Linked DNA regions of Caenorhabditis elegans. The protein of the gene in region 3 purifies or fractionates together with the protein of the main gene of each other region. This does not show direct contact. Each region holds a gene or a part of one and is shown on either strand. Other genes may lie near its edges. The genes, in order: bcas-2, prp-8, cdc-5L and sftb-2.

What was found.
Region 1: the proteins of cdc-5L (region 3) and bcas-2 fractionate together in Caenorhabditis elegans (co-fractionation; one large-scale study listed by BioGRID). This does not show direct contact.
Region 2: the proteins of cdc-5L (region 3) and prp-8 fractionate together in Caenorhabditis elegans (co-fractionation; one large-scale study listed by BioGRID). This does not show direct contact.
Region 4: the proteins of cdc-5L (region 3) and sftb-2 fractionate together in Caenorhabditis elegans (co-fractionation; one large-scale study listed by BioGRID). This does not show direct contact.

The regions. Positions count from the first base shown.
Region 1 is NC_003281.10:6,242,306-6,248,310, forward strand, and holds bcas-2 (Pre-mRNA-splicing factor SPF27), read right to left. Parts: upstream 3,524-6,005; 5' UTR 3,515-3,523; coding exon 3,452-3,514; intron 3,355-3,451; coding exon 3,265-3,354; intron 3,214-3,264; coding exon 3,022-3,213; intron 2,948-3,021; coding exon 2,682-2,947; intron 2,631-2,681; coding exon 2,525-2,630; 3' UTR 2,367-2,524; downstream 1-2,366. Other genes in the region: gen-1 (GEN1 Holliday junction resolvase homolog), read right to left, coding at 3,973-4,024, 4,184-4,386, 4,434-4,617, 4,667-4,780, 4,832-4,997, 5,052-5,286, 5,337-5,426, 5,481-5,562 and 2 more.
Region 2 is NC_003281.10:8,162,638-8,170,062, reverse strand, and holds the start of prp-8 (Pre-mRNA-splicing factor 8 homolog), read right to left. Parts: upstream 5,691-7,425; 5' UTR 5,687-5,690; coding exon 4,857-5,686; intron 4,803-4,856; coding exon 4,565-4,802; intron 4,524-4,564; exon of another isoform or gene 4,391-4,523; intron 4,365-4,390; coding exon 4,145-4,364; intron 4,073-4,144; coding exon 3,328-4,072; intron 3,280-3,327; coding exon 1,863-3,279; intron 1,850-1,862; exon of another isoform or gene 1,680-1,849; intron 1,632-1,679; coding exon 630-1,631; intron 578-629; coding exon 105-577; intron 1-104. Other genes in the region: bath-42 (BTB and MATH domain-containing protein 42), read left to right, coding at 6,737-6,797, 6,852-7,120, 7,171-7,425. UniProt on the Caenorhabditis elegans protein: Functions as a scaffold that mediates the ordered assembly of spliceosomal proteins and snRNAs. Required for the assembly of the U4/U6-U5 tri-snRNP complex.
Region 3 is NC_003279.8:8,488,099-8,497,592, reverse strand, and holds cdc-5L (Cell division cycle 5-like protein), read right to left. Parts: upstream 6,303-9,494; 5' UTR 6,288-6,302; coding exon 6,243-6,287; intron 6,198-6,242; coding exon 6,102-6,197; intron 6,053-6,101; coding exon 5,749-6,052; intron 5,707-5,748; coding exon 5,507-5,706; intron 5,450-5,506; coding exon 4,103-5,449; intron 2,574-4,102; coding exon 2,491-2,573; intron 2,444-2,490; coding exon 2,325-2,443; intron 2,043-2,324; coding exon 1,969-2,042; 3' UTR 1,738-1,968; downstream 1-1,737. Other genes in the region: lotr-1 (HTH OST-type domain-containing protein), read right to left, coding at 6,945-7,204, 7,249-7,498, 7,544-8,382, 8,429-8,676, 8,729-8,801, 8,848-9,023, 9,093-9,296, 9,342-9,494.
Region 4 is NC_003283.11:126,666-134,861, forward strand, and holds sftb-2 (PSP proline-rich domain-containing protein), read left to right. Parts: upstream 1-1,571; coding exon 1,572-1,862; intron 1,863-1,910; coding exon 1,911-2,688; intron 2,689-3,525; coding exon 3,526-4,169; intron 4,170-4,786; coding exon 4,787-4,882; 3' UTR 4,883-5,006; downstream 5,007-8,196. Other genes in the region: W03F9.2 (C2H2-type domain-containing protein), read right to left, coding at 424-756, 803-1,065, 1,116-1,173, 1,230-1,286.

The DNA.
Region 1 (6,005 bases), on a different chromosome or scaffold from region 3:
GGGCTGCAAGAGATAGAGGATATGATGGAGGCCCATTGTTCAAGTTGTGGATCGCCCTGAATGCAGACCATGAATCCAGCCATCTCGCATCTCTTGATAATTTTGAAATGTCAGAGAGCAACATGAAGATACTTGCAGAGTTACTGGATCGGTAAATGTCTCGAACAGTTTTCAGAATTTCATTGAGATCCTCATTAGTGGATGAAATATCTCGAATACTTTGGAGCGCCGAACGAACTTTTTTCCCGATTTCTTCAGTTGTAGTAACATCGAAATATTTTCTCAAGTTCCTTACTAATATTCTATCATCGTCAAGTTTTGAGACATAATCTCTGAACTTGTTTAATCGAATCTTCTCCTTAGCAAGAACTTCCATTAGAGTCCCAAATCCTGAAGTTTTCGAAAAATTTATTGCTCCGAAAAATGTCTGCATAGTTTCTAGAGATTTAGTCTTCGTAGACTCGAATATCATATTTGATGGTGTGAACTTCTGCTCAAAGACTAAGCTGAAAAGAAGCTGAGATCCAGTGACTCCCTCTGTATTGGTAGTTCTGTTAAGAAGCATGGTGATGTCAAAAGCCAATGGGAGAAGCTCTTTGAAATGTGGAAAAGCTTGGAAAGTTTGAATCAACTGATTGTATTTTAGTTTTGCGTTTTCCACGGAGCCATCAAAATTCTTAATCAGTCTTGCTCCAGCAATCAATGCACTCTTGGCACCTTCCAAACCTCCAATTTCATTGATGATTGGTCTTGCTGCATTTACAAATCTGGTTTTCAGTTCTTTATTCCCAATTTCCGCCCAAATCTTCGACAAGTTATTCAGAGTCTTTTCATGTCTTGTTGTGTTTTTAGATCCTGGTTGTGATCCGTCGAATATCTGAAGATCTTGAGAAGAAAGAAGATCTATTGATGCAAGACGATTTATAATTGAATCTTTAACATCTTTCGTTGCAGTGACGTTCATAAAACCATCTCGAATAAAAAATCAACATTTGCACTGTTTGATCCGAATTAGCAATGGCTTCTCCTACACGATGTTCGTAAAAATACAAAAATTCGGAATCTTTTCTATACATTCCGTTCATCTGGAATGGTATTATCTCAAGAAAGTCACCCAATTTTCCGAAATTTTCAGGGCCAAGAGTATGATGGCAAGTAACTAAAACTTCGACCAAATTAGCTTTGTGCACTTCTTCTGGTAATTCTGCATTGAGCCAAGTATTAATATAAGTTCGAAGAACAGTTCCATTTATGTAGCTCTCCCTAGAGAATTTATCCTTTACTAGTTTCGCTCCAAGTTCTCGAATGGAAAATGCCACGTTTCGAGTGTTCCTAGAGCTCGCTTGAATTGTAGTAGCAAGTTGAATTAGCCATGGTTCACGAGGCAATACAGAAGGCTCGTTGAGTGCAATAATTCCTTCTAACCGTTTCAAAGAAGAATCTCCATTTTTAATTTCCCATCTTGTCAATTCAAATGCTCGTATCAATTGTTGATAAACAATATCAGGAATCGACAGTTGTGAAAGAATAATACTATTGAATGGAAGGCTCTTTGAAAATCCACCAGTGAGGTAAAGTTCTTTGAGTGCTTCATAGAAACCGAGAATATTCATTCCCCGAAATTCATTCAGACCAGGTATTGCTTTAGGGTCTGGGTCTTGGAGACTGCCTGGAATGGAATTGGGGTTTATTGAAATTTTAAGGATAATTCAGAACAAAGTCAGAACAAGACAATACATAAATTTTAGAAATATCTGGAAATATTTCCCAACCTTGAAAGTGTCTAAATTTGTTGTCAGAAAGTAAACTAACCAGCAATAGCCACTCGATGTAATACTCCAATGAAGACAATTGCGGAGAGTACTGTAATTTTCCATTTCTTTTTTCATCCACTTTCTACGCTATCCTTCAAGTTGGAAAATTACTACTACTATAGAGCTAAATCGTTTTGAAAACAATTTAAAGTTTTGAGAATTTTTATTTGCTGTCAAAAAGTGACAATTACTCAGTTTTTGCAACTCATAATTTTGGAAGTCGACCAAAAAATGTTTTTCATTGCTTTGGATCTCTAAGCTCATATTTTTCAAAATTTTGGCAATTTGCCAAAACTTCGACTGAAAAGGGGTTCCGAGTTTGACATTTTTGTAGATTTGTATAACCTGATAGTTTAAAAAATCCAGCTCACTGTAATTTAGAGCTTTTCCAAGAACTAGTTAGGTATCATCTTTTGAAAAACCTACCCTTCATAATTTTACAGGAGGCAGTCGATTGGTAGAGAACAGAATAGGATCCCTCGAGAGTAGAAAACTTGCCTTATAAAGACGCCTAGATTCTCATATTTTGCATAACTTGAAACGAATCTTACAGAAATTTCCCATTGTTTTATTTTGTTTCACGAATAAAAATATGTTAAACAAATATGCAAAAATAATAAGGGGCAATAACAGGGACAAGTGGAGAAAGTGAAAAGAGTATCGATTTGAAGTGTGTATAAAACATTTTTTAAATAGAGCCAAATCCAAAATCAGTTCTCCTGATCCTCTTTGTCATCTAACTTTGTCGGATCCAATTTGAGCGCCTTGATTTGTTTTCTGTTATCACTGTCGATTTGTCGATTTTCCATTTCCATTCTGAAAAGTTGAATAAGTAATTAAAAATTAGAACAAAGTATTTTGTCTTACCTATAATTATTGGTAACCATGCTGACCCATGACTGTTCCAATTGTTTTACTTTTTCTCCTGCCTTCAACTGTGCCATTTTTCGATTCGCATGAACTTCCATGACGGCTTCTTTCGTTTTTCGGAGTTCTTTCTCGGCATGTGTTAGAAGATCTTCCATAACTTTGTTTCTCTGAAGATAACTCTCAGCAGCGTATTCATCCATAAGTTCCAGATTGATCTGGCGCATCAGAAGATGCTCATTTTGAGCTTTTGCATTGCGAAGAACCTGAAAACGAATATTATGATGTATTTTTTAATTAGTAGTTGCCTTTATTGATTCATTGAAATTTATCTACTAACCTTCGCCCAAAGTTTTCTATCAACTCCCTTAACAGCAGATGGAGCAGGAAGTTCACAACGACTCATATCCAACTTTCCCATCTCTTCTTTCTTTTTCATTCGATCCATTTCTTTGAGCATACACTTTGTGAGAAAAGCATCATAGTCGGGCACTGGAAGATGTGTCAAGTAATTTTTCGTTGGACGGAATGTCTGAAAACATTAAATTTTCCATATATGGCGGAATTGGCAGAAGTAATGAACCTTGCACTCATGCTCCACAAGTTTCATTGCGAGCTGTCGATCCGCCTCGTTGTACTCTGTGTCAAGGTAAGGAAGAGCATCGACAAGAACCTGAAAATAGTCATTTTACACTGAAACTAGTAGTTTAAACTACTTAAAAACTTGGATAGGTGGATAAAATTGATTTTAGAATCTCAAAAATATTTACCTGATCATCCTGCAACTGACTAGAACCACTTCCACCGGTAAGTGCTAACGGTTTGGAGCTCATCACGTGAACCTGAAATTGTTCTGTCGAAATAATGAACTTCTGAGATTAGAGATAAAGATTAACATGAATTAACACTTCGAAAATAAAAACCAAGAAACATTGACTTTTTGAATTATTTCTCAATCAAATTACTTGTGTTCAATCAAATCATATTACAATTGAGACGAGCAATAAGCAAAAAAAAGTCGAATAGAAACTATTACGGCCGGATTTAAAAAAAAGAAGTTTTCAACGGGAACCATTTTTTCGAGAATCAAAAGGGGAATTTTCAATTTTCAACGGGATTTTTGGAGAAAAAGAGTGGGAAATAGTACAAAAAAGTGGAAGGATCCTTCGGAATGTGTGTGAGACAAATGTTGGATAAAAATGAGAGGATGTATACTGTGTGAATTGGGGGTTTAAAATTATGAATTTTTAAATTCGAAATATGAGTAATTTGGATGAACTTTTTTTGTATATTAATCCGAGTCGCCAAGTTCGATGACATCAGTGGGATATGGCTTGAAGGCACTGCAATAAAACCGTTTAATTGTTTTTTTTTAACGGGAAACAAACTTTAAAAATAAGTTATTTTGCACGAAAATATTAATTTTGAGTGATTTCGAAATAGATTTTTCGTTTTACAATTTTTATTGTCAAATGTTCATAATTTTTCCAACAAAGTCTCACCGTATTTTTACAGATCGCTTTCTGTCTGGAACCTGTCGTTTCGCATGGTGTTGTAAAATTTGTGGAGATTCTGATCGTTTTCGTTTTCTCATCCAAGTATTATTTGCAGAAATGTAGTCTTCAAGTGATTCACATGGCTCTACGATCGGTGTGAAATTCTTCGATTTGGTGGCAGCAAAGAAATCAGGAATTCGAGTTTGAGCCTGGAAATATATACATTTTTGTGAATATTCTAAAATTATTTGCTCACCACAGTTGTCGTCAGATGCACTTTTCTCCGAATACTAAGAGCTAATTCTTTCTGTGTTCTTGTTGCTGGCCAACCACATTCCTTCATCATAATCTCTGCGACTTGTTGAAAATTTGCAGCTCTTGGAATAATTTTCGGAATTTCACTTGATACGGGTGGCCGAAGATACATCGTAATTGCATTGCTGAAAATTAAAAAAAAAATAGATACAGCAACTTCTAATAAAAACTAACTGTACGGCATCACAATTAGGAAATCCAACAGGAAAATTATACTTTTTTCGTCGTAAACGAAGCTTCCGTTGGGTGTCTTCTGAACGAGCTGGAATTTCTTCGCGTACGTATGACCTGAATAATAATAATAAAATATTCATAATAAACACAGTTAGAACAGCTTACGCAAAACGATCTAAAATCACATGAGGATCTATTTCTTCATTTCCGTCGTCACCAAATTCTCCCAGAATATCAAAAACCGAGACAATTCCAATGTTTTGAACACCACGTTGAAAATAGTCGCAACCGAGAAGAATTGCAGTTGAAATTAGATGAGGACGGGAGACTTCTGAAACAACTTTTTAACGATTACTTTATTTTTTCAACGCTGAAAACTACTTACTTTTCTCCATAAACATTCTTCCCAGGGAAAGATGCATGATGTCATGAAGACAAGCGGTGGAAGAAGTGCCGGCGGTAAAGTCAAATCTGTACAAATTCTTTCCGCCAAACAAAAAGTAATCGAAATCTGTCGTTATACAACCACTTGTCACTCCGAGATCTTCTAACCGTGCACATTGAGCTTCACCATCTCCTGGAGCAATGATGACTTTTATCCCAAGTTCTGTGAGAAGAGCCTGGAATTTTTTTCTAATTTACAGGTTATAATATTTAAAAAAAAACATACATTTGTTTTGTACACATGATCCACTAAATTTGTAAACGGAGAGTCTCCAAAACTTCGCCTCTTTCGTGGCACAAATTCGTTCTGATCTTTCTGAAATTTTGAAGTTAATTTTCAAATACACGTTTTCACTCAATTCCTTCCTACCGATTCATGAGCAGATGAACTTGCGTTAATATTGTCGAAAACAACAATAGGAATAATTTTTAGCTCCAAGAGGCGTTGGATTCTGCAAAAAAACGTTAGATATAGTAATTTCGGAACATTTAAAATAATATTCTTACCTTGTGAAAAATGTGACCAGGTAGCTGTTAGGAGTTTGTTGATGATGAGCTTCACAGCCTTTCAGGCTTTCGTATAACCAAATGTGGCCATCTGAACATTTTTTTTTTAAATTTGAAATTAAACTTTAATCACTCACCGATCGATAATGTCTTATCGCGCATGGTCTCATTTGGCACTTTTCGAACTACGTGGTTCGCCCACTCCCATATCCCGTTAATAGTCATTCTAGTAGCATCTAAAAGTGAGGGAAATGAGGGAAAATTCGAAAAATAATCGAAAATAGAGGAAGAGAGGAGCCCGCGTCAGTTAATGTGCGCGTAAATCGACATGAGAGACGACGAGGGACGGGTCTCACCACGATCTTGCGTCTTTTGAATTTGCCACGAC
Region 2 (7,425 bases), on a different chromosome or scaffold from region 3:
GAAAAATTAAAATTAACTATTTAAAAGAAAAGTTCAGAAATTTTTGAGAAAATTATCTTTGCTAAAAGTATATCATTTTCAAACAACATTTCACATAAACTCACTTGCTGTCTGCCATCAAAGAAGGCCTAGACACATTCCACTTGTATTGAGCAAAGAGAAGTACGTCGGCACACGAACTGTTCATTTTGTAAGACTTTCTCGGATGGATAGTTTCTTTTTGGACTGTTTGAATCTCAAGTGCATCGAGTTCCTGATCGAAAACTTGACACAGATCCATAACTACTGACTCGTGAATCTTTTGCCACAAGTGAGCACGGAAGATTTGAATGAGAGAAATCTTGAGCGTCGGGATCTTTCCGTGCATGAAAATTCCAGTCAAATCGAGTTGTACTTGGAAACCGACGTAGACATTAGCACGGTTGATAGTTGGAGACCACCAGAGAGTGAAACGACGATTCGGAATTTGATTAAGTCCAGAACGTTGGGCGTTTGTCAGTTTCTTGAATTTCATCGACTCTTCGAATCCAGATGCACGTTCCCAGAACAAACCTTCCCATGTTGGGAAGTAGGTTCCCTAAAAATACACATATAAGACAAGAAAGCAAATTATATCTGTTAACACTTACCCTGAATAATGTATGTTCCAAAATTCCTTCTACTCCTCCAAGTGCTTGAATCATGTCTGTTCTATAGTTGTTCAAGTTCCATAACTTTCCGTCGTGTCTTTGATGTGTCCACCAGAATGGATTTTGCTTCAGAATTTGATAAGCCTTGAATTCGGTTCTAACACGCCATCCTTTATCGTATGCCAATGTGTGACGATCTTTTTGGAACAAAGTATTGATTCTCGGAATTCCACGATCCCATGAATCGTCGAGATCTTCCAAAGTGAGTCTTCTATTTTGAGCGTTGGCTTCTTGTCTCTTGAGCGCATATTCTGCCCACACACGAACAGAATCGACAAACTCTGCTTCCCAAGGTTGAATATATCTGTACAGATTTGGAATCAATTGGTCTTCATCGTGACTCATTCCGGAACGGAAGTGAGTGACACCTCCAGCTTCCGTTTGTTGCATCCATCGAAGATCAGACTGTGGGATCAAGACGTGTCCCATAGATAGCATTCCAAGTCCTCCGATTTCTTTTGGCGTATAGAAAACAACTGGAGGGAATCTTGAGGGCATTTTTGAGTTGAGTCCAATCTTGATTCTCGTTTGAATTTTATTCTCACATTTCACCAATAAATCCAAAAGTTCTTGAGTGTTCACAACAGCTTCTCTGAAGTAGGTCATCAATCCGATCAATGCTGTATTCCATTTGTTGACAATTTTGGTGAACGTTGTAGATCCAGAAGACATCAAAATTTGACGAATTCTGTTATGGAATTTGGACAATGACTCCTCATCGACCTTCAAGAAGCACTGAGCAGTTCTTTCCTTTGTCACTTCGTTTTGAAGATTCCATACACCATCACGATGAACAAACTCTTCATTAGCCGTACGACACTTTGGTAGAATACGACACTCGAATCCGGACATGTCGAACAACATGTTCGGGTTATCCTTACTGTACACTGATACGAATGAATTTTCCCACTCGACAGTTGTGATGGAACGTGGGAGACGGTTCTGTAAAATAACAAATATTTAAAAATCAAAATAGTAAATTCTACATTTTAATGTACGCCTGTCAAGTAGACCTTATCATTCAAGTTAAATGATGGATCTGTTCATGAGGCGGATAATCGCTTAATTTCCATTAGTTTTCGAGGAATTATCAACGAGCAGCCATCGAATAATTGCTCGCTTTCTTATACCTCGTGTTAAAATTTTAAAAAAATAATTAAAAATAAAATTTACCTTGATATCCCAGAAGACAGCACGACCCAAATTGACATCATGTTTCATCAATCTCATTCTAGCGTCTCTTGGCCAACACTTTTTGTTGTTATAACCGACAATATTCTCATTATTCGGATCTGGATGCTCTGTCAAGTATCTTTGAATCAAATCACGTGCTTCATCAGCACTGAAACGGAACATGATCCAAACTCGGTCGATGTACCGGCAGTAGAGACGAATAGGGTGACCAATTTCTGTGGCAACATCCTGGAATTGCAAGAACTCGTTTGGACATTGGGGCGGACCGGCAATTTCGGAAGCTCGTCGAAGTCCAAGAACAAGAAGATCAAGAACTAATCCATAGAATTGAACAATAAACGAAGCAAATTGTAGACCACGAATAATTCCGAAAGAATTGGTGTGGTTCATATCCTTATAGTTGATGAGAACGTTGTTCTTCGAAGTCATGTAATCGGCAATATTGTGATCCACAATCAATCTGAGCAATCTATTGAGAAGTGTCAAATCCATTTTTTCAGCAATTTTCTCCAATTTTGTTTCCATGATGACATTACACTCTCCTTCACTTGTCTCCCAAACATCTTGAAGATTGTTGAGACCTTGACACCATTTGTATGTAAGAAGCGGTGGTGGTTCAGTATCTCCTGGTTTCACCCATGCCGGGAACAATCTTCTCTTGTCTGCTTCATACCAGAGGTATTGATCGAGGTAAGCGTCAGTGACTTTCTCAAGAGGCTCGATATCGTAGACTGGAATAAGATGAGTGTAGAGATCCATAAACTCAATTCCGACTTCTTTGAATGCACGCTGCGTGAGCATGTGTCTCTTGATACGAGACAAAGCTTCGTGAGGATTATCATAAGCCTGTTCAATTAAAGCCAGTTCTTCTCTTTGGGATTGATTCAATCTATTCTTCACACTGTAACTTTCCTTCAGTCTTTCAAGAGCCAAAATAAGAAGTTTTGTGTCGTGTTTGTAAGAAAGTGGTGGGAAAGGAATCGGAGAAAATCTTCTTGATTCCAGCCAATGTACTGTAGTCGTGTAAATTGCAACAGCTTCTTCTGCAGAGATATATGGTCCGTCCTTCAAGTAATTGTGTTGTCTTTCTTGCTCTGATTTCAGGTATAATCTTGTCAATCTACCCAAGTTCTTCTTGCACACAGTTTTGTCTACTGTCGCTCCTCGTCTTACACGTTCTCTGTTGTAATGTGCCGAATTAGTCCACCAATCAGCCTTTGCTTTCACATAACGTAGAATCATATTTTCAACTGGAGTTGGCAGTCCGGGAACCTTCCATGGAATATTAGCCTTCCAACATCTCCACGCCTCTGACAAATGCTGAAGAATAACACGAGCCTTATTTTGTTTGATTCCGTCCGGCATCATATCCAGAATGTCATGCATGACAGCAGCACTGAAAATATTAATAAATAAATTCGTTTTCTTGCCATTTAAAGCTTACCGTAATTCAAGATCGAAATGAGATTCAACTCTTTGCTTGGTGACTGTCTTGGCCACTCCCTTTGAATGTCTTCCTTCGAATTGTCGAGACAACAGATTTCCAAGCCATCTCTCGAGCAGTGGTGTGATTCCACGCAAGAAGAACAACCAAACTCTCCATCCCGGAGCCCAAAAACCACATCCAGGTCCTTTACCAACCGGCCCAGTGTTGAAACGATAGTAGATGAGATGCTTGAGATCCTTGCACATTCTGACTTGTCTCATGAGCTTGTACTTGTAACGATACATTCCGGTCAGTTGACCGACGTGAGCAAAGATATATTGTAGACCATCTGCAAGTTGGTACGCATCGACGTTGTTCAAACGATACTGAACATGGGCATCAACAACAAGTTTTGTGAGACGAAGGATTTCTCTGCACAAATGGAATGCATTTCCGAAACGAGATTTCTTTCTTTCCTTTGTTGTCAATGTTTTAACTGGTTTCAAATTGAAGTTGTAATCAAGATGAAGATAGTTGAGATTCTTTCGGTGAATGAGCAAATTGAGCATGTTGTATCCTTGACGAAGAACTTGCAATCCAGCTTCTACCCAATCCAGGGTGGTTGTTTGGAAGAATTTTGTTGCCTTGAAGGAACGGAACAGATAACGACGCTTCTGGGGCTTCGGTGGACGATGTTTGAGAGCGTTCAGAACAAACACCTTGAGCAGTTTCTGATAAGAAACACGAACTTTCACGGGCATTCCTGAAAAATTGAATATATTATTTCAGCTTAGTATGCGAGAAACGAAACGAAAAAAATAGAAACAAAACTAACCTGCTGGACAATGTTCTCTATACCACGATTTGACAAGTGGTACATCCACTGCTCTTCTCGTTCTTCCCGATCGAAGATTGAATGGCCGAGGGGCCCATAGAAGTGCTAAACCATTAGCCGTGTTATCGGTGTAGAGTGGAACGTCTTCAAAAATGGGTCGAACATCTTCAGGCAGCTCCCACTCGTCTTCCTCTTCACCTTCTGGTAGATTTTCTTCAGTCTGAAAATGTTTTGACATACAATACGAATTGTCTCCAGTTTTATTTCTAGATATCACCGACAAAAAGGATGATTTCTCGCCTTTAATGGAAAATTTATATTGCGAATTTCGGCTACTGACTACCTTGTAAATTTATAGGAATCTGTTTATAATATCCGCATTTTATTTTAAAACATTGCTGAAACTTGTAAATAACTCACTGCTTTCAAGTTGCTGAGAACGATTGGATTGATCAATGGATCATAGTAGAATGCGGGAAGATCTGGGTCTTCAGTTTTGATAAATACAACTGAAGGAGTATGATACCATGAAACTTGAACAGGCAGCGAGCTGATCAGATTGTTGTACATGAATGGGAATGCAATTCTGTACTCGGTACGAATTGGAGCTCGAATAATAACTTTATTGATATCATTGAACTCGTTCCAGTCTTCATCACTGAAAATAATAAAATAGTATGCGTCATAACACAACTGGAAGCTTTTCACTTACGTATGTAAATCTTTTACCAATGGTTCGAACTTCGGGCCTCCTGGAATTGCAACGTTGAGTGCTTTAGCAGTGAAGAAACTTTTCATGTCAAACAAGTAGAAGTAGTTATCATCTACTAAATCGGTAAGCAGCTGATTTGCAAGACGATACAATGTGGACATCTGTGGAATACTGAATGCCCATTTTCTGTACGTTGGGCCGTTCACAAATCGAGTTGTTGCAAGAGGCTTGTGATCGTAGAACCATTCAGCAACAGCTCCGTCTTCTTCTGGATCTAGTTCCATTTGAATTGGCTCTAAAGGCTCGACATCCAGAATATTATCAGCATAATCGAGAGGCGGTTCTTCATCGTCAAATGGAGGGAATCTCATTCGCTTGAAATGACGACGATCACGTTTTTCTCTTCTCATCATAATCCACATCGTTCCCCATTGTGCCATGTAGACCGGCTCGATGACACGCGGAATGTCGTTGACAAAAGTGATCGCACCGGTGATGTGATACAGAACTTTTACATCTCTGATTTGTTCCCAGGGCATCGGCATGTTCTCCAGTAGCTTCAAAACGGCATGTGGCATATATTTCAAAGCACCGAGGTAGACTCTTTTATCATGACGATATTTGCGAGAAGTCATATCACCATGATCTCTGATAACTTTTCGGACGTGCTCAGGTGGCATTTCTTCTTTCTGCGTATCGGACATTCCAAACTTCTTTTTCTCCGAATACCGCTTTCCTTGAAGTTGTTTCCATTTTCGAGACTTTTCTTCCAGAATTGAATCCGGGATAGCATGTGGTTCAGTTTGGGGATGACCGCCGTAGTTGGCCATACCTATAACACACTATATAAAAATAGAATTAAAACTAATCAATGAGTTGACGAGCAAGGAAAAATAAGTATTACTGTAGAGAAACTGGAAAGAGAGATTTGTCTTTGTTTAGACTGTAAGATCACATGAATTGATAGTTGGAATTGTGCATTACAGTTAATAGCGCACAAAATTTACATTAAAAAACGGAATTTATTCAGACTGAACCAGAAAATCATGAATAAAAACCGATAATTTCTATTTTCGAAAGTAAAATTTAAATTTCCTTAAATCTAAACAACGCGCGCAATTGTGTCGAGTGGAGCGTCGTACTTAGATCTGCAGGTGTTTGAGGTTACGGTGCCCGGTAATTCAAACACTCTTCGGCGTAATGTTTCGATCAATAGACCCGCCTCTTCTTGGCAGCCATTATTTGCGTTCGCGTTCGCCGCCGCCGAGGAAAGACATCTGCCCGAAAAAATTTATTGATTTTTCGAAAACTTATTGGCATTTTCTATTGCCCTCAGAATCTGAGTAAAGCTTCTGAATTGCAACTTTTCCTTTTTCAAGTCATGTGACTGGGGTAATATCATTTTTTCGAAACTGTTCCGAATTTTGTACAAATATCAATTTTTCGAAAAGGAAATTATTTCCAAACTGTCATTGTTACCCATTTTATATTGAAATGTACCACATTTATTCCTCATAGACGAGTTCATGAAGATCTCCTTTTGAAAACTTTAAAAACTGTCCAACTTAAAAAAAAGGTAGTATTTTCGAATATCAAACGGCGATTTCGTAATTTTAATACTTTTCTAATATGTGTAATTTTTCGTAGATCGGTTTCGAAAATCGTATTGCTTATTTCGTAACTCTAACAAAGAACTCCTGCTTTTCGTAAATAATTCATTCGCGGAGTTTCCCAGTTGTTGTGTCTTTTTGAATTTAATCATTTTCTTTTATTTTTATCGAGATTATCGGGAATAGCTTTCTTTTAATTGAATTTATTTTCAGAATAACCTCTTGCTCGCTCAACTTATCAACAGAGGTAAAACTTATTCGCAATATAATATGTCTTCACGTTCCTCGTGGTCATCCACGGAGCAGATTAATCGCACAATCAGTTCCAGAGGTTAGTGAGAATAGCTCAATTAATTTGAGAGTTTAACATTATTTTCATTTTCAGCTGACGATCTTCCTCCACAACCTCGCCGTCTAGAAGTAGTTTCGAAGCAAGCAACGCGTGTGACGGCACTTTCTACAAAATTGGAATGGAAAATCGAACAATTTGAGAAATTGATGAAACTAATCAAAAACGGTTCGAATCTTATTTCAAGAATGTTTAGTGTCCCTGATGCGCCAACAGTTTGCTGGGAACTTCATGTGTATCCAAATGGAAAGCGTGATGAAGATGTGAATAATGTATCGTTTTTCTTGAGACAAGTTGGATTAGCCGTAAGTTTCATTCATATTTTCTATATATAAAATATAAAAACCTTTTTCAGAGAGGAGAGGAGCCCATCATGACAGAATTTCAAATTTATGCTCTCGATGCTAATAATCAAAGAGTCAGTGTATGCAGAGATACCAAAGATTTCACAAACCAACAAGGGCGTGGAAAGTTCCAAGTTTCGCGTGATAAGATGCTTGGGGCACTTCGATCTGACGGAACTCTCTTTTTGATTTGTGAAGTTGAATACTTCCCTCCTGGATCAAAAATATCAGTTGAGCCAGTTGTGGACGAAGATGTTAGCACAGAG
Region 3 (9,494 bases):
ATAATAATCATAAAAAATTAGAACAATTCTAAAAATTTTAAAAATTTTATTAAGCTATAACAGTTTACTTTGAATATTTAAAGGCAAAGTTCTTCTCCCGGAATGGGTCTTGACACGAAAATCCAATGTTGCAGTGAATGTAGGTCAGCTCCTCGGTTCCTCACATTCTTCATTCCATATTTCAAAAATCAATCATGAACACAGGAAGTGACATTTCACACCTGCTCCTGTCTTCCCGTGTTCATTTCCCGTTCTGATATCAACATACATCTGCTCCCTTATGCCATCACTCATTAGACAAAGACATCCATGATCCATGAAAAATCCGGAACATTTTCCTGTGAAGCTGGGGAAAATGAAAAGGACAAAAAGGTGAAAAAGTTGCAACAATTTTTCTTGTGGCGCACGCGCGCGAAATCAAACGTTGCGAGACGAGGAGTAATGAGGCGAATTGAGGAGGTATTGTGGTTACGCAACAAATCAATTTTTCTTTGGAAAAACTCTTTGGGTTTAAGGGGGTTTGCATGGATATTTAAATAAGAAGAAAAAGACTATTAATTAGCATGCTAAGTAAAAAATACACACATGGATCAGCACACACTTTTTGATCAAATGTTCCAGGCTTTCGAGCGATTTTTTACAGAAATAAATCATTGCTTCTCGAACAAGGGTGGGCAAACTTTTTCAAAGTCAAGAAATCAAGAAAAATCAAGAAATTTTCTCCGGCCAATATTTTTGAACGAAATTGGAAGAAATAGTTAAATTTATCAGTTTTAACTTATTTTTTTAAACAAATATCATCAGAAGGAACTTCGAAAACGGGCAAAACGTGCAAAACTAATAATTTTCGACAAAAACGTTTTCAATCTTTTTGAATTTCTTTCTGAAATTCTCGTTTTTTCAACTGAAATTGGGTTTTATGGTGTTTTTTGAGTTAATATATTCTGAAAAGGACAAAAATAGCGAAAAAAAAAATTTCGGAAAAAATAGAAAACCCAGTTTTTCAGCCTAAATTTCGAGTTAAAAAATTTCTTAATTTCTTGACACAATTTATCAAGAAATCAAGAAACAAGAATTCTTGACAAAATGTCAAGAAATCAAGAAATTCAAGAAATCAATCAATCAAGAATGCCCACCCCTGTTCTCGAAGACCCAAAATTTCAGTCAGTCACCAGATTTGCAAGACGCAAAAAGTAGTTTAATTTTGAATAATTACTTTTGTATGACCCTTGGTAAGTACCCATATGGCTCTAAGAAAAAGATTATAGAAAATTTTTTTCTGAAAACATGTTTTTTTTTCGACAACAATTTTAGAATTAGAATTAATTGAAACTCAAATCTGAAATTGAAACGCCTATTTTTACAGAACAGTTCAAAAATCAAATGAATTCTATAAATCCAACTAGCTTTCTCTTGCGACACACCCTAAAACTACAGTAATCCGTTTCATGAATGTTTGATCAGCCGATGAGACTCCTCACACCTCCGTTAGTAATTTATTCGTTAAAAAGAAAGAGAGAAGCACCTTCGTAAACATACACACTCAGTTTTACTTCTACCGTATTCCATTGGACCAACCACGCCCCGCGGGAGACCACATAAAAATGGCAACATTCCTTTAAACCCACCAAAATCACATTACCATGTATAAATGCATGTATCCCCCTTTGCTTCGTTCACTAACACCATTGCGCAACACTTTCCCAAAAGCCGGTCGGATATGTCGGAAGCCGTTTGTAAGATAAGGATTGCCATAGTAAAATGACGATTCATTTGTTCCACAAACGGATGATCGAAGCCGCTAAAACACAGAAAGAGAGAAACAGTTCAAAAACACAATAGGAGATTACGGAAGAAAGGAAGAGTGTGATCCGAAAGAAGCGAAAAAAAACAGAGGAAGAGATAAATAAAACGATATATAGGTAAAATGTTAAAAGGAACAAAAAAGCTGAGGGCGCCAAAATTGAATTAGTATGTAATCGGTGCTGATGTGGTTGAAGCTGCATCGTGGATTTCAATTTGAGACAGTTTCCATTGCTTATCTGAAAATAGGAAAACCATGAGTTTCAAGTCACAAAATAAATGTAAGGCACTTTGAGTGACCTAATAAATCAAAGCAGGTGTCACCAAGAGACGACCACACAGCTTGTTGCTGCTTCTCTCAAAAGACTGTATTGTGCTCATTCAGTCAAGTGTCAATTTGAATGACAAAACGAAGAATGAATGAGATCTCTTAATCCTATACACAATTCTTTTGGAATTTATGTGCACAATGAAAGTTGTACTATTCTAGTTAAGGGTCAGAGGAACGAATGAAAACTTACTCGACAACTTTGAATACATCTTTTGAAGATCCTTCTCCCGAGTTTCTTGTGTTGTGACTTCTTGTTGAAGACGCCCGACGCGTTTGTTGATTGCCTTCAACTCATGCTCTCCGAGACGTCTGAAAATTGATTATATGAATTCTAAAAAATAAATATTTGTGCTTACTCAAAAGTTTTCTTTTCAATATTAGCCATCTCAATCTCGGTGGTGACTTCCTGATACTTTTTACACAGCTTGTCATGAATAGCCTGAAATTCAAAAATCACTATTTGAAGAAGGTTAGGCACAATTTGGTTCTAAAAGAAAACTTGAAACGAATTCCGTTCAAAAGCTGACCGTAGAACCCCATTCAAAAGTAATTCCGCCCATTTTTCTCAACGTTTCTCGGAACTTTATTTAATTTATTCGAGGATTTTGCGTAGTTTCTGTGTCGACTCTTCAAGTGAAATGAAAAAAAGAAGAAGAACACAAGTCATAAATTACTGTAACGTCTTTCTAATCCACCCACTTTCTTCTCCGAACCCTTTCAACATCACTCAGCACTGTCGCCCATTTCAACACCACAGGGGGGAGCACCCACGCGACAGATAGGCGTTTGAATGGGCACATCCATAGAGAGTGGAGGACTATGTGAATGAATTGAATAGCAGCAGAAACCAACAGGCGGGTTGGTGGTGGGAGACCCGAGATCACCATTAAAATGGACAGAATATCTTGTTAATTGAAGAGAACAAAACGGGGGCATGAGAAAGTCAAATAAAGAAACATTATAAAGGGAAAACTAGGAGATTTTGTTTTAAATTACAGAAAATAGACCGCAAATATAACCGTAAAAAATACCATACATTTTGCTAGATTCTTTATGATTTTTCCCCGTTTTGCAAAAAAAATTAAAAATGGACTAATTATTTTTTGAATTGCGGGTTTTTTCTTGATTACCGTATTTCTTCTATTAATATGGCCTCCCTATTAGACTTGCACTCCCTATTAGTATTGCTCCTTGAACACCCTCCGAAAATTAGTATTGCACTCCCTATTAGTGTTGCACTCCCTAATAGTCTTGCGTCTACTTTTTTTTGGTACAAAATCACCTTACTAATTTTGAGATTTTAACAACATTTTTTGCCTACTGTGCAACAATTTTTGGAAAAATTTCTATGAAATTGAAGTTATTACACCTTTTTGTTGCAATTACAATCAAATTTTCTGAATTTTCACACAAGGTTCGAGTTTTTTCAGAAAAAAAAATAGTAAGCTCAAAGTCAGAAAAATGTTCTGAAAATTAGTATTGCACTCCCTAATAGTCTTGCACTCCCTATTAGTATTGCAAGCGGGAAGACCATCGAAAAATAGTATTGCAGCCATATTAATAGAAGAAATAAGGTTTTTTTTTTAACATGTGATATGAAATTTTTCAATTTTTCAGAAATTTTTCCGCAAAGAAAACTCGATAACCCCGAATAAATTATTTTAAACTTCAAAATTAGTCTAAAACGACATTTCCACATAAATTTAGAATTTTGTTGAAAATTGTCTGAAAATTCGACAAGCCGTGTTTCAAACCTAATATTAAAGAAAACCAGTCTGATTAGCCAGAAAACGCCAAAATATATTGCTTCTGATACTTAGTGAGTCATTCATTCACGCGGAAATTCAAAAATATTAGAGTTTTTTTAATTTTCCAAAGTTGAAAAAAATCATAAAAAATCTAGAATTTTTTTACAGTTAAAGTTACATTATTTAGTTCCAGGAACAGATTCTTAGACGGAATGCTCACCTGATAACCGCCCAACTTGACTCTCAGCTTTTTCTCAACTTTTGCAGCTCGTTTCGCCCGTTGATTCATCCATCCTCTGTACATTTGGAATTCATCATTCAAAGCTTTCATCTGTTCTTCTCGTGGTAGGATAGCAATACGTGTGAACTTATCTTTACTCAGAATAATTTCCGAAGTACATTGTTCGACAACTTTCCACATTAGACTGTTCAATTCTGGTCCTGATTCAGCTTCTTGTTTGATTAAATCAGCAGCCGCATCAAGCTCTTCACGGGAGTAGATTACTGATGGTGGCTTGTTGTCTACGTCCCAAGCAAGAAGTTTGCTCATTTCGGCTTTGACCATGTCATCTGCTGACGAGTTGGTTGCCCGTGTAGCTTGTTCGTTAACTTTTGTTGGTTTTGGAAGTGATCTTTGAATGACTTGTGATCGCATTTTCATATTTCTGACACGATTCTCCGCATTTCTCTTTGCTTTATTTTCAGCTCTTTCAGATGCATCTTCAATCCATCCATCTTCATCTTGGTTACTCTCATCTTCAACAGCTCCTTCAACTTCATCATCATCAGGTCCAACGACTTCAAAATCATTTTTTGGAGTTGGCAGACTGGCCAAAGCACGCTTCAGACTAGCTTTTTGTTCTAAAGCTGATCCAGCAATCTCCTCGTTAATACGCATTTGATCTCTGAACGGAGTTGCAGCAACGCTTCCAGCTGGAGTAGCGAAACCACCTGGTGTGGATCCGGGAAACTGTGATTGAGTTCCTGGCGTGGCTGCAATTGCATGGAGAACTGTGTTTGGAGTGGCCGCAACTTTGGGAGTTGGTAGAACGCCTTTTCCGAGTTCTGATTCGTGAAGTGGGGTGTTCAACCCTCCTTTCAATGCTGATTCGGTATTCTGTAGAGCCATTAGGTTTTCGAGTTCTAATTGAACCGTATCCTTGAGCATCGGTGTTCTCATAGTTCTTGCAGCAACTGCATTGGCTCTTGCTGATTCAGTGTAATCAGTGAGCAATCCACTTGTAGCTGTTCCGTCAATATATTGCCGAACACTGTCAGATGCATGACCAATCTTGACGATTTGTTCAAGCTCACGATCAGAAATCTGTGGTTCGGGTAGGACCAACTTCGAACGTTTTTTCTCTTTGATGTTGAATACCGCATCGGCTTCTCCTTGTTCTTTACGCTTTTTCAGTTTTTCACGATCCTCTCGTCGCATTTCCATTTCAATTTCGCGGCCACGTGGTTTTTGATGATCTTCGATGGCTTTCTGGTTTGCATCTTCCACGACATATCTGTCCTCAGATGGATTATGGAATCCAGCTGGAACATGTTTTTCGAATGGAATCTGAAACAAAAAATGGGATTAGAGACACTTAGAGACAAATTTTTCAATTCAACTAACCTCCTCACTGTAGTCAATTTGGTTTCGCTTTGGCTTGAACTTTCTGGCAAAAGCTAAGCCAGCTGCTCGCATCTCCCTTCGTTTTTGAAGCGAAGCCAGACGACGTGCATCAGAAAGCTGACGCTCGCGAGCCTTTCTCTTCGCCTTTTTTCCTTGAGTGTTGGCCAAACGTGCACGAGCCTCAGAGAGCATTTCCAATTCTAAAACGTGAAATTAGAGTTATAGACGAGTTGAACACATACCATCATCATCCATGTCAATTGGATCAGGTCTCGCTGGTTTTGTCTCAGGTGTTGGATCGATTTCTCCAGGTTTTAATTTTCTAGTTTCAGTAGCTTCTTCATCAAGACCTTCTGCTTTTCGTTGAGCTTCATCCAGCAAATGCTCATATCGTTCCAGGCACTGCGCTGATGTTCTTCCGACAATTGGTGCAATTGTTCTCCATTGCGTTGGCATCAGCTTAGCGAGATGAAGAAGTTTTTCATCTTCTTCACGTGACCATTCTGTCTTTTTAATTCCTGGATCAAGCCACTCGAACCAACGAGCCTGAAATCATATTTTTGTGCAATCAATTTTTGAAATTAATCCGAAATACCTTGCATTGTTTTGCTGATTTTCTGTGCAACAGTGAAGCAATTCGACTCCATTGATTTTTTCCGTATTTCATAATAGCTGCTTTGAGGATTTCATCCTGAAACGTTTTATTTTTGTGAAAACAACTTGATTTGCAACTAACCTCTGTATTCTTCCACACACCTCCTTTGATAATAACTCGCACCATGTTTGGTTTTGCTTACTGCAACGAAAACTAGATTTGCGAATTTGAATGGTAAAAATTGAATTTGGCACCAATTTGATAGATTAAAGAATTTAAAATAAAGTCAACTCGGTAAATATTTTAATCAACGTTACTATTTTGAAAGCTAACGAGTGTTACGAACAAGTTGTATTGATTTTTAAATAATTCGATACTAAAAATTCCCGCAGAATACATGGAGATTACTGAAACAAAAAGGCAAAACAGAAACTATCAAGAAGAAAATGTGTATTTTTCGAATGGAGCTCGCTTTCGAAATGTGGAGGACTAGTACACGAAGGACAATACGAGGCCACGGCCATTAACCGCCTTTAAATAAAAAAGATCGACAGTGCGCATAAAAACTTCATTTTCAGTACGAATTAGATATAAAAAAGAAACATATTGGGTAGAGTTAACATTTGCGAGTTTAAATCACAAGTGTACTCTAAATGCACATAAATCGGAAACCATGTGAAAACAGCTATAAAACAATGAAAAATTATTGTTAAAAGAAGAAACAAAAACGAGTTTCTGAAAATTCTATAGGGAAAGGGGCACAAATAAGATTATGGAATATGTTGCTAACGTGCAGTTTTAATGGCACAGATGTGAAAATCTGACACGTGGATTAGAAATGTTTCAGAGACGAATGTTATTGTTTTTACCAGTCGTGAGCATGTACGTGAGCAAGCGTTCCCATTCATTGTTATCGCCGAATAAATCCTTCAAACTTCGAACGAATTGGAACATCCCCACAATCATAGTAACATTCTGTTCCTCGATTAACTTATCGAACAATGAATGGAGATTCAAGAGTTTTGGGTCAAATGAAGATGTTGCATCGATTTCTTCGATAATTGGGCTTGGCATCTCACCAACATAAGTAGTTGTCATAGATTCTGAAACGAAAATGATTTTAAAATCTAACGATTTTGACACAAACCACGACTATCATGAACAATTCTAGTCGATTCCATCAATGAAGATGTTGCAGATTCATCACGAACTGAATAGTCGACAAAGCACACCGAACAATCTGGTCCAACAGACTTTATCACATCGAGTGCAGAATGTGGAAAGTGAATGATGTTGGCATCGGACGAAGTAACTGCTCCACGTCTCTTGACAATTTGTGAAAGCCACTCAAATTGACCACGCTCATTTTTCCAAACCATATCGATGTTAAGAATTCTCTGCAAACATTAAACAAATTTCTAAACAACCATCTGTAAACTCACGTCATCGTTTCCATGAAAATATCCACCCACAAATCGTTTTGTATCATCATTATCAATGTTTTCGAACATCACATCCTGCTCAGAAAGCGTCAAACCCAGTACTCCATGCAATGTTGCGAATACAACATTCGAGGGAAAGTGTTTGAAGCTGGCTTCTTCCGGAATCGGGAACAAATGAGATAGATGTACATCCACGAAATATTGATCATCGACATCAGCCAACAAAACCAACACTTCACCATCTTGTTTAGCTTGTCCAACTATCAACACTCTATAATAGCGCACCTCCGCTCCTTGTCGATAAACGTAGACTGCAGCTGATCCCGTGCGGACGGTTTCACGCTGGAGCTCCACAATAGGCGCTACCATCACGGCCCGCAATATATTCCCCATAGTAGCAACCTTTTCAACGTCCATTTCTTCACGTTCTTCATCTTTTAAAATCAACAAAAATCCGCGTGGCGCAATAAACATTGCAGGCTTGACCACTTTAACAGATTGTTTCTTGATATGGGAATTTCCCAGTGTCATCCAACGTAAATCAGACTCGACAGGATCCCGAAGATTGTTCTCTAGGAGTGGCAATGTAGTCGTGTCAACGTGGGGATCACAAAGGCGGACCATCATTTCTCCAGGTTGAGTTGCATAAACTTTGAAAATGTTCTTTCCTAAGTCGACGATAATCTTATCACAATCCGAAAGCGCTTCATAAGGAATGCTACCATGAGTTTTTACGACTTCAGCAAGATTTTGTGTTGGATTGCGAGGCTTGATCGTACGATGACGAAGCACTGAATGATTGCGACGAGATGATTGAATAGTTAGAATAGATGTGTTGTCTGTAAATTCAATATTTGTTCATTAGCAGCGAAAATGTTTTCTCACTGTCGTCTTCTTGAGCACGCGACTGACGAAGAATTCCATTTTGTGGAACGAGTGACGAAGATACCGGACATTGTTGGCTTGCCACAGAGACAGTTCCAAAGCGCAATGCAATGTCGGTCATATCAGCGGTTCGATCTCGAGATATAGCATTTCCTGGATAGTCATCGATGCTTTCTTGATTCGAGTTGAAAATTTTTGAATCTTTGCTTCCATTTTCTGGGGGCACTTCGAAACTGTTGAACCCGTCACTGAAAATTGATAAATAACATCTGAAAAACAGTGATCAAAATGTGCCCTTACAAGGAATCGGATGTTTGATCTCTAATAGTTGAAGGAGCGGATACTACAGATTGTTCAAACGCTGAAGCTGAACCTGTAAAATAAATTACTATTGGAAAGCATCATTTGATCACTTTTACCGCCAAAAGATTCAGATTGAATAGAAACATCTGCTGACGGATTTTGTTCACTTTTTTGAGTTGGATCGGCATTGTCACGATCAATACAATCAACGAAGATGTCACCTTTTTCGCTAAGACGCCAGAAATGCAGATATTCGTTGAAAGGAGGAACATTGAGCTGAATGTATAGTTCACTGAAATCAAAACATTCAATTTAGAACTGACTATAAAAGCGCAACAATACTTTTGCGCAAGTGAATTACCTTTCCGATATGTTCTTTCCCCATGCTGGTAAACAATACAACTGTTTGAACTTATTGGCAAGAGCTGCCAGTGTTACAATCTTGCGATTTGGCTCATCAGGATGTGAAACTCCTATCTCATCAGCATATTCTTTCAAAACCTCTGCAAGGTTTTTTACGCGAGAAATTGTTTTTGCTGGACCCAACTTGTGTCTTGCTTTGAATCTAAAAAACAAATCATTGACAACGATTTTTTAAACTTCCACATACTGCTCAGGTGTTCCTCTCGATTTAGCGATTTCCTCTGACGCATACGGACCTCTGAATGCCCGGAATGATGACCCATGAGTGCTGAGGTTATTAGTAGCTCCTGAACCTAAAAACGAGCGGGCCGGGCGTTTTGAGCTCGACTGCTGCTGGACC
Region 4 (8,196 bases), on a different chromosome or scaffold from region 3:
AATTTGTTGATTAAAATCGAAAATTATCTGCTTTAAAGTATTAATTTTAGAGAGAAATCTGGAAAAAACTGGAAAAATCTGGAAAAGAAAAACAAAAAAAATTCAAGTCTGCAAAGTTGCGTGACGGTGTTTGCGGACAAACGCCTGCGCCTCTTCATTTCGCGTTGTGCCTCGCGGTTTTTAATTATAAAATTTTTTAATAATTAGAATTCAGTACACATTCTTGTAAAGCCTTCCTATCTTGTGTCACTGAAGCTTTTTCGCAAAAAAAGCGCTTCCAAAGTAGCAGAAGAAACTGAGAAAAATGAATAAAACATTAAATGTCTGCGCTAAAATCTGTATTTTATTTTTATTTCAAAAAACGAATAAAAATCTTGTGATGAAGTTTTATTGACGGAAAATCGAATGAATATTTCATTTTTATCAAATTCCAACAGTATCTTGTTGCTCGTAGTCGTAGTTTCGGGATTCCAGAGACAGAAGTGCTGGATTGCCGGGCTTTTGAGCATTTGTAACCGATTTTTCTTGTGGCGGCGCTTCTTTTTCAGTTTCTGTGTGTTTTGAGATCATTTCATGGCGAAGACAGCATGGAAGATGCACTTTCACAGCTTTAAACTTGATTTTTTGAAGTTTTTCAATCATTTTCAGCCCATTTTCAAGTCGTTCTTTCGAAATTCCGAGTTGCTCGGTGGTTTTTGCATTTTCCAGACATTCGATCAACTGATTTTCCTTTGCAAAATCCGTCTGTTTGATGAGCTAAAAATTAATTAAATAAAATATAAAACGCAATACTAAATTTCACCTGAAAACTGCCAGGTTTGCCACCATGAAAATGTTCCAGGTGGTGCTTTCCTTCATCTTCGGTGTGAAAATTCAAGTTCCGGCATCCAGAGCATCGAAACGGGCGGTATATTATATGAGTCTGGAGCATGTGGAACTCGTATGCCGCCCATGTTGACCAGGCCACGGAGCAGGTTTCGCAGACAGGCCTTGGAGCATTTTCGGGAATCGATTCCCCGTAGGAGTCTGGATTGAATTCGGGAACTGATGAAGTTGGGAGTTTTCCTGAAGGTTAAAAAAAATTAATTTCACAAATAATATTTATAAATAATCACGTTTTAATGCAGAAGCTGGCTGAACAACTCGGATGGTGCACTGGCGTTGAGGGGAGCTCTGAAAAAAGAAATCTATAAAAAATGGCAGTATTTCTCAGCTTATTTGCAACTCACGAGAGTGACTAGATAATCGTCATGGTCTTGGGCTCCTGATGTAGATGGCTCTGTCATTTCAACCTGAATTTTCTGTTTTTAATCTTTTTAAAGCATTATAAAGCTTTAAAAAAATTTAAAAAAAAAAGAGAAAATTCAATGATAAAACAGTGTGCAAAAATGAGAGACGGAGAGTATTTGGCGTCGGTTTCAGTGTTTGGTACGCAAACACCGACCCATTGCGTACTCTTCGAATTAAATTTTTTTTGCGAATTTTTAGATTTTTCAACGTTTTTGCGGTTAAAAACCTCTTTTCCTCATTGAAAACTTTTCAATTTTCAACTAAATGTTTTCCTTTTTCAGATGTCAGGCGAGGATGACTACAATTCAGACGATGAGGCTAACAAGAACCTATCTAAAAAGGAGCTTCAGGAGTTGAAGAGAAAACAGCAGAAAAGCAAAAAGAAGAAGGAATCGAAGAAGAGAGCAAAAGCCACGAAGCAAGCTGAAATAGAAACACGAGAGGAGCCGAAAAAAGAGGAGGAAAATGGTGACGATCTTGACGTGGAAATCGATTATATCGGTGAAACAATTGAAATTGAGCCGGATAACCCGCACGCTCAATACTTTTCCGCAATTTTTGATGCTTTTAAGGTAACATATCACTATTTGTTAATGTTTTTCCAATATATCGGCTTCCAGATCTCCACCGACTCAGAAGACGGCTTCTCCTACGGCCATCACGTTTCCAAAGGCGAGAAAAAGGATGATTTGGGAAAAGTCGGTCAGGCCGAGCGAATTATTCAAGAGGAGATGGAAGAACGTGCCAAAGAAAACACAGAGGAGAAGCTTTCGCGTAGAAAACTCCGAATTTCTCTTCAACCGAGTATTGCAAAGCTTAAAGAGACGACACTTCGAGCCGATGTTGTTGAATGGGCCGATGTGACTTCTCGTGATCCGTATCTCCTTGTCGCAATGAAATCTTATAGAAATTCAGTTCCAGTTCCACGCCATTGGAATGCAAAGCGTAAATATCTCGCCGGAAAGCGAGGATTCGAACGGCCACCATTTGAGTTGCCAGATTTTATTAAAAGAACCGGAATTCAGGATATGAGAGAAGCGCTGCTGGAAAAAGAAGAAAGCCAGAGCCTTAAATCAAAAATGAGAGAGCGGGCCCGCCCGAAGCTTGGAAAAATCGATATTGATTATCAAAAACTTCACGACGCGTTCTTCAAATGGCAAACCAAGCCGGCTATGACAAAAATGGGCGAGCTCTACTATGAAGGAAAAGAGATGGAGGCGATGATGAGAGACAAGAAGCCGGGTGAAATGTCGGATGAGCTTAGAATTGCACTGGGAATGCCCATCGGATCGAATGCGTTCAAGTTTCCACCGCCATGGTTGATTGCGATGCAACGTTACGGACCACCGCCCAGTTTTCCGCATATTAAGATTCCTGGATTGAATGCGCCGATTCCTGGTACGGTAAAATGTTCTGGATGTACTATTTTAGAGCAGAAATCTAAAAAACATTATGAAAAATTTTACATTTCAACATAAAATTACCAAAAACCTAGAAAATTGCCTGCTAAATTTCATTTTCAACGTAAAATTAACAAATCTGTGAATTTTTGCACCTGTACCGACCACAAGAACTGAGATCGTGGCGAGACCCGCTTTAAGCGCCAAATTTTTGCAAAATGATAAATAATTTTCTTTTGATAAAAAATTTTCTTCGCATAATTTAACACACAAATATTCATAAATTCTGCCAAAAAAAATTATTATGAAATTTTCAGATATTTTTTTCGCAAAAACATGTTATCCTGAAAGAAATTAAGACAAACTTGACAATTTTATGTTCAGTAAATACATTTTACGAAAAAAAAATGTCTGAAAATTCAGAAAAAATTTGGTTTTGGTTGAAAAAATTATGAAATCAAATTTAGAAAAATAAAAAATAACTTCTTTCACGATTTTCAAGCAAAAAATACGATACTGGGTCTCGACACGACAAATTAATGTTTAATGCGAGGTGCTATATTTTGATCAATTTTTCCAAATTTATCAATTAAAAACTCAAAAAAAAAACAAGTTTTGGTAAATTTTGGGAGATGCCACATTGAAAAGTTGGTTAAATTTTCAATTTTAACGGATTGTAGGTCATTTTTTGAGCCACCATAACTTTTTTTGAGGTTTTAAAAAAGTGTGCTTATGAAATTCGGTAGTTTAAACGATTTCGAGTCTAATAAAGCAATAAAAAATTTCGACTACAACTTTAAAGCCGTAAAAATGGAAAAAAAATTGAAATTTTCAGAGGGCTGCGCATTCGGCTATCACGCAGGAGGTTGGGGAAAACCACCAGTCGACGAGTACGGACATCCTCTGTACGGAGACGTGTTCGGATTGGCCGCTCCAGCTTTCGAGCCCGAAGACGAATCGCAAATCGAGCGGCGATATTGGGGAGAGATCGGATCCGACGAGAGCAGTGACGAGGAAGAGTCGGAGGAGGAAGAACATGCCGACGATGATGATGCTGATGTTGAAGGAGGATTCCAGACACCTGCACCGGTTGAGGGAATGATCACACCATCTGGAATGACGACTGGAATCACTGGAATCGAGACTCCTGACACGATTGAGCTCCGGAAAGGAAAAGAGAGCTCTGTGCTCGGAACAGACACTCCTGCGGCTGCCTATCATATCATTCCGGAGAAGAAGAACGAACGTATCGGTGGACAAATGATGGCATCCTCCCATACTTATGATCTTTCCAAGAAGCATGCGGTTCGTGACGATGGAGTTCAGATTTCGCTGGATCCTGAGTCTATTGATATGGATGAGCAAGGACTGGCGGCTCGGTACGAGGAGCAGCTCCGAAAGCAAAAGCATCGGGATGATGATGATGAGGATCGAGAGGATTTGACGGATATGGTGGCTGAGCACGCTGCCAAACAGAATGTTAGTGTGTCGAAAAAAAAAATTTCTTGAAAATTCAAAGAAACATTTGAAATTTGTTGGAATTTCCCTAATTTTACTGTAAAAGTACTCTAGTAGTACTGTAGGATTACTGTAAAATTACTTCAGCACGCGGTGCCAATCTGTCCCATTACAGTTTGATCTACAAAAAATGCGGGAATTTTTTGCCCAAAAAAAAAATGACGGCGGCACGTTTTTAACCATGCAAAATCAGTTGAGAACTCTGCGTCTCTACTCCCGCATTTTTCGGAGATCAAACCGAAAAGAGACATTCTGACACCAGTGTTCAGGAGTACTGTAGGTGTTTTGTAGTAGTAGTAAAACTTTAGGGGTACTGTAGGGATACTGTACTGTTTTTGTATTTTGAAAAAATAGTGGAGATACCGGGGTACTGTAGTTTTGAAAAAATATTTCTTTTTGAAACGATAATGGATGGGATTATGGACTTTAGGTATACTGTAGGAGTACTGTAATTTTGAAAAAAAGTGTTTTCTTTTCTTCGTTGTAGTATTGTAGGGATACTATATGAGTACTGTAAAAGTGAATATTGAAAAAATAGAAAAAAATATCGTCTCAAAAAATTAAATTTTCATTTTCAGAGAAAACGCAAAGTTCAAGATGACAAGAAGAACAAGACGTCATCATCCTCGTCGTCAGGATCCAGTGGCAAGAAGCATAAGGACTTCAAATTTTGAAAATCTGATTGTTTTAATTTATTATTTCTTTCTCTCTTTTTTTTTGTAATTTTTAAGCTTAAATTCCAATTTTTCTGTCACCCCAAATAATCGCCCCACAATTTCAATTAAATGTATTCTGTAATTGAGAGTTTTATACATTTTTGGAAAAGTTTTACTATAAGAATTTGAAAGTGCACAAAAATTGGAAAATAATTTTTTAAAAATAAAAAAAATAAATTTCAAAATGTTTCGGTTTCTCAAAAAATAAAAATTAAAAAAAGTCGAAAATCATAAGTAAATTTAGAAAATTAATTTTAAAAAAAACGTGTTTCGTTTTGCTTCCAGAAATAATCGAAAATAAAAAAAACTTTATTTTTTTAGAATTGCAAAAAGCGGGTCCCACCACGAAAATGTCAAGCTACAGTAACCCCATTTTCGTCGCGAGACCCAAAATTTCCAAAGTTAAAGGAACCTAGTCATGATTATACTTATTTCAAAGCTCTCAATGAGCTGAATTCAGATTTTGCAATATTTTTTTGAAATTTCGATGCGTTTCGTTGCGGGACTCAAAATTTGGAGAATTTCAAAAATTGGCAAAACATAGTCAGCTAAATTCAAATTTTGCAGTAATTTTTTTTCTAATTTTTCTAATGTACTTTCACTGAACAATTAATTAAAATTTCAGATTAAAAAAAATTAAAAAATCTGAAAAATTGGAAAATATAAAAAAAAGCAATTTTTTTTGAAATTCAAAAAATTTCTAAATTTTCCATCTACCAATTTTCAGAGATTGGAGCTGCTCAACAACAGAAGAATTCAATAGAGAAATGGATTTGGAGCAAATGAAGAAGACGAAAAATAAATAAATATGAAAAATAAATATTTTCTTTCTAACCAGGAGAAAAAAATGGGGAAAAAATTTATAAATCGAGTATTTATGACAGGAATGAATTAAAACAGAAATCACAGAAAGTTTAATTAAGCGAGAATTTTTCGCAGCAGAGTCGTGAAGATCCCACCATCAGTCCTTGAACAAGTCGCTATTATAGATGTCCTGCATTGAAGTGGCTGTGACACATCCAGCAAAAGTACGTTCAAGCTTCTGAAATAATTATTTTAAACTATGGATTTCAGATTGTCACAAACATCACGATCTGCAACTGACGCCGCGAGTTCCTTCAAATCCTGAGCCACTTGTGCAACATCTTGGTGTGGTGTGCTGGTGGGATCCGGAACTGAAATTAAAAATTTTCCTAATCTTTGAAAAAAAATTAGCAACTCACCATCATCTTGAACACCAGCTGGTCCTCTTTGGTTTCCTTCACAAGCAAGTTCCCGAAGTTTGGATCATTTTGAAAGACCCCGGCTTTATTTGCAAGCATCGTCGACAAGACGAATTGACGTAGGATGCTCGTCGCTACGTCCGCCGTCAGGTCACGCTGGCCGAACAGCGATCCGGCATTCTCCATCACCAAAACAAGCATGTGAGCTATGTCATCGTCAGGCAGCAACTCTTCGGGAAGTTTTTAAACCACAGCTGACGTCTTGAGAGGCGTAAAGTTGGGAGACCGTTTGGCGACTGGAATGAGGCGGGCATAGGCTTGAATTTCGGCCTGGGCTTGAAGGTTGACATCGTCCGTTTGCAGAGGATAGAGCTTTGCCACTAACTCTTTCCCTGTCCCTCCTGTGTTTCCATCTACAAATTGCCTTCCCATCGTTATTCCCATCGCTTTCCATGGCATCACATTTTTCCGTTTCGTGTACTCGAGGAGGTAACCAAATGCAGCTTTATCTGTAAAAAATGGAGTTAAAAAGTTATGCGTATTCTAGGATTACTGTAGGGTTACTGTAGTTAGAGTAAACTGATTTTTTTGGGTCTCGAAGAGAAAGTTAGTGTTCTGGGGGTACTGTAGTTATAACTTTAATTTTTGAATTTTAATAATTTTTTTGTTGTGATAATAATTTAAAAATTAAAGAAAATACCTTTCTCCTGATTCTTGCCAGCGGTCGTGCTTTCTGCGTTGGTTGGATGCTGTAAATTGTTTAAAACATTTAAAACATTGAAATTTTTGGCGGAAAATTCAAATTTTCAGATAACAATTCATTCGCAAAAAATTTAGATTATCGAGCTGAAATCGAATAAACTCATGAAATTGCAGAAATTGGCTCTCACCACGAAACTGCTAAGCTACAGTAACCCTATTTTCGTGGCGAGACCCAAAACTTGCAGAATTTTTAAAAATTGGAAAAACCTAGTCATGATTATATTTATTTGAAAGCTCTCAATGAGGTGAATTCAGATTTTTTAGTAATTTATTTTTAATTTCGTCGCTTTTCGTGGTGGGACCCAAATTTTGGAGAATTTTAAAATTGTCAAAACCTAGTCATGATTATACTTATTCGAAAGCTCTCAATGAGGTGAATTCAGATTTTTTAGTAATTTATTTTTAATTTTGTCGCTTTTCGTGGCGGGACTCAAGTTTATTCGAAAATTCCAATTTGCTGACAAAAATTTTTTGCCGATAAATTTAAATTTTCAGCGGAAAATTTTAATTTTCGAGCTGAATTTGAATAAACTTTTTCAAAAATCGGCTCCCACCAAGAAAATGCTAAATGCTACAGTAACCTCATTTTCGTGGCGATGCCCGAAATTTGGAGAATTTTAAAAATTGGCAAAACCTAGTCATGATTATACTTATTCGAAAGCTCCCAATGAGCTGAATTCAGATTTTTTAGGAATTTTTTTGTAATTTCGTCACTTTTCGTGGCGGGACCCGATTTTTGGAAAATTTTAAAAATTGACCAAACCTAGTCATGATTATACTTATTCGAAAGCTCCCAATGAGCTGAATTCAGATTTTTTAGGAATTTTTTTGTAATTTCGTCACTTTTCGTGGCGGGACCCAAATTTATTCGAAAATTCAAATTTTCGGATAACAATTTTTAGCAGAAAAATTTAAATTTTTGAGTTGAATTCGTATAAACTCATGAAATTGCAAAAATTGCCTCCTACCACGAAAATGCTGAACTGTAACCCCTTTTTCGTAGCAGGACCCAAAATTTCCACAGTTAGTGGAACATAGTCGTGATGTATACTTATTTAAAAGCTCTCAATGAGCTGAATTCAGAATTTTAAAAAATTCTAGTTAATTTCGTCACTTTTTCGTGGCGGGACCCCAATTTATTCAAAAATACATCGACCCGAGCCAAACGTTTTATTTTCACTGGTTTTCACCAAATTTATCAGAATTTTTTGCAACAACTGAAGATTATGTTAATTTTTCACATAAAAGGTTGGTGAAAAACAGAGAAAATAAAGCTGTGCAGCCAAG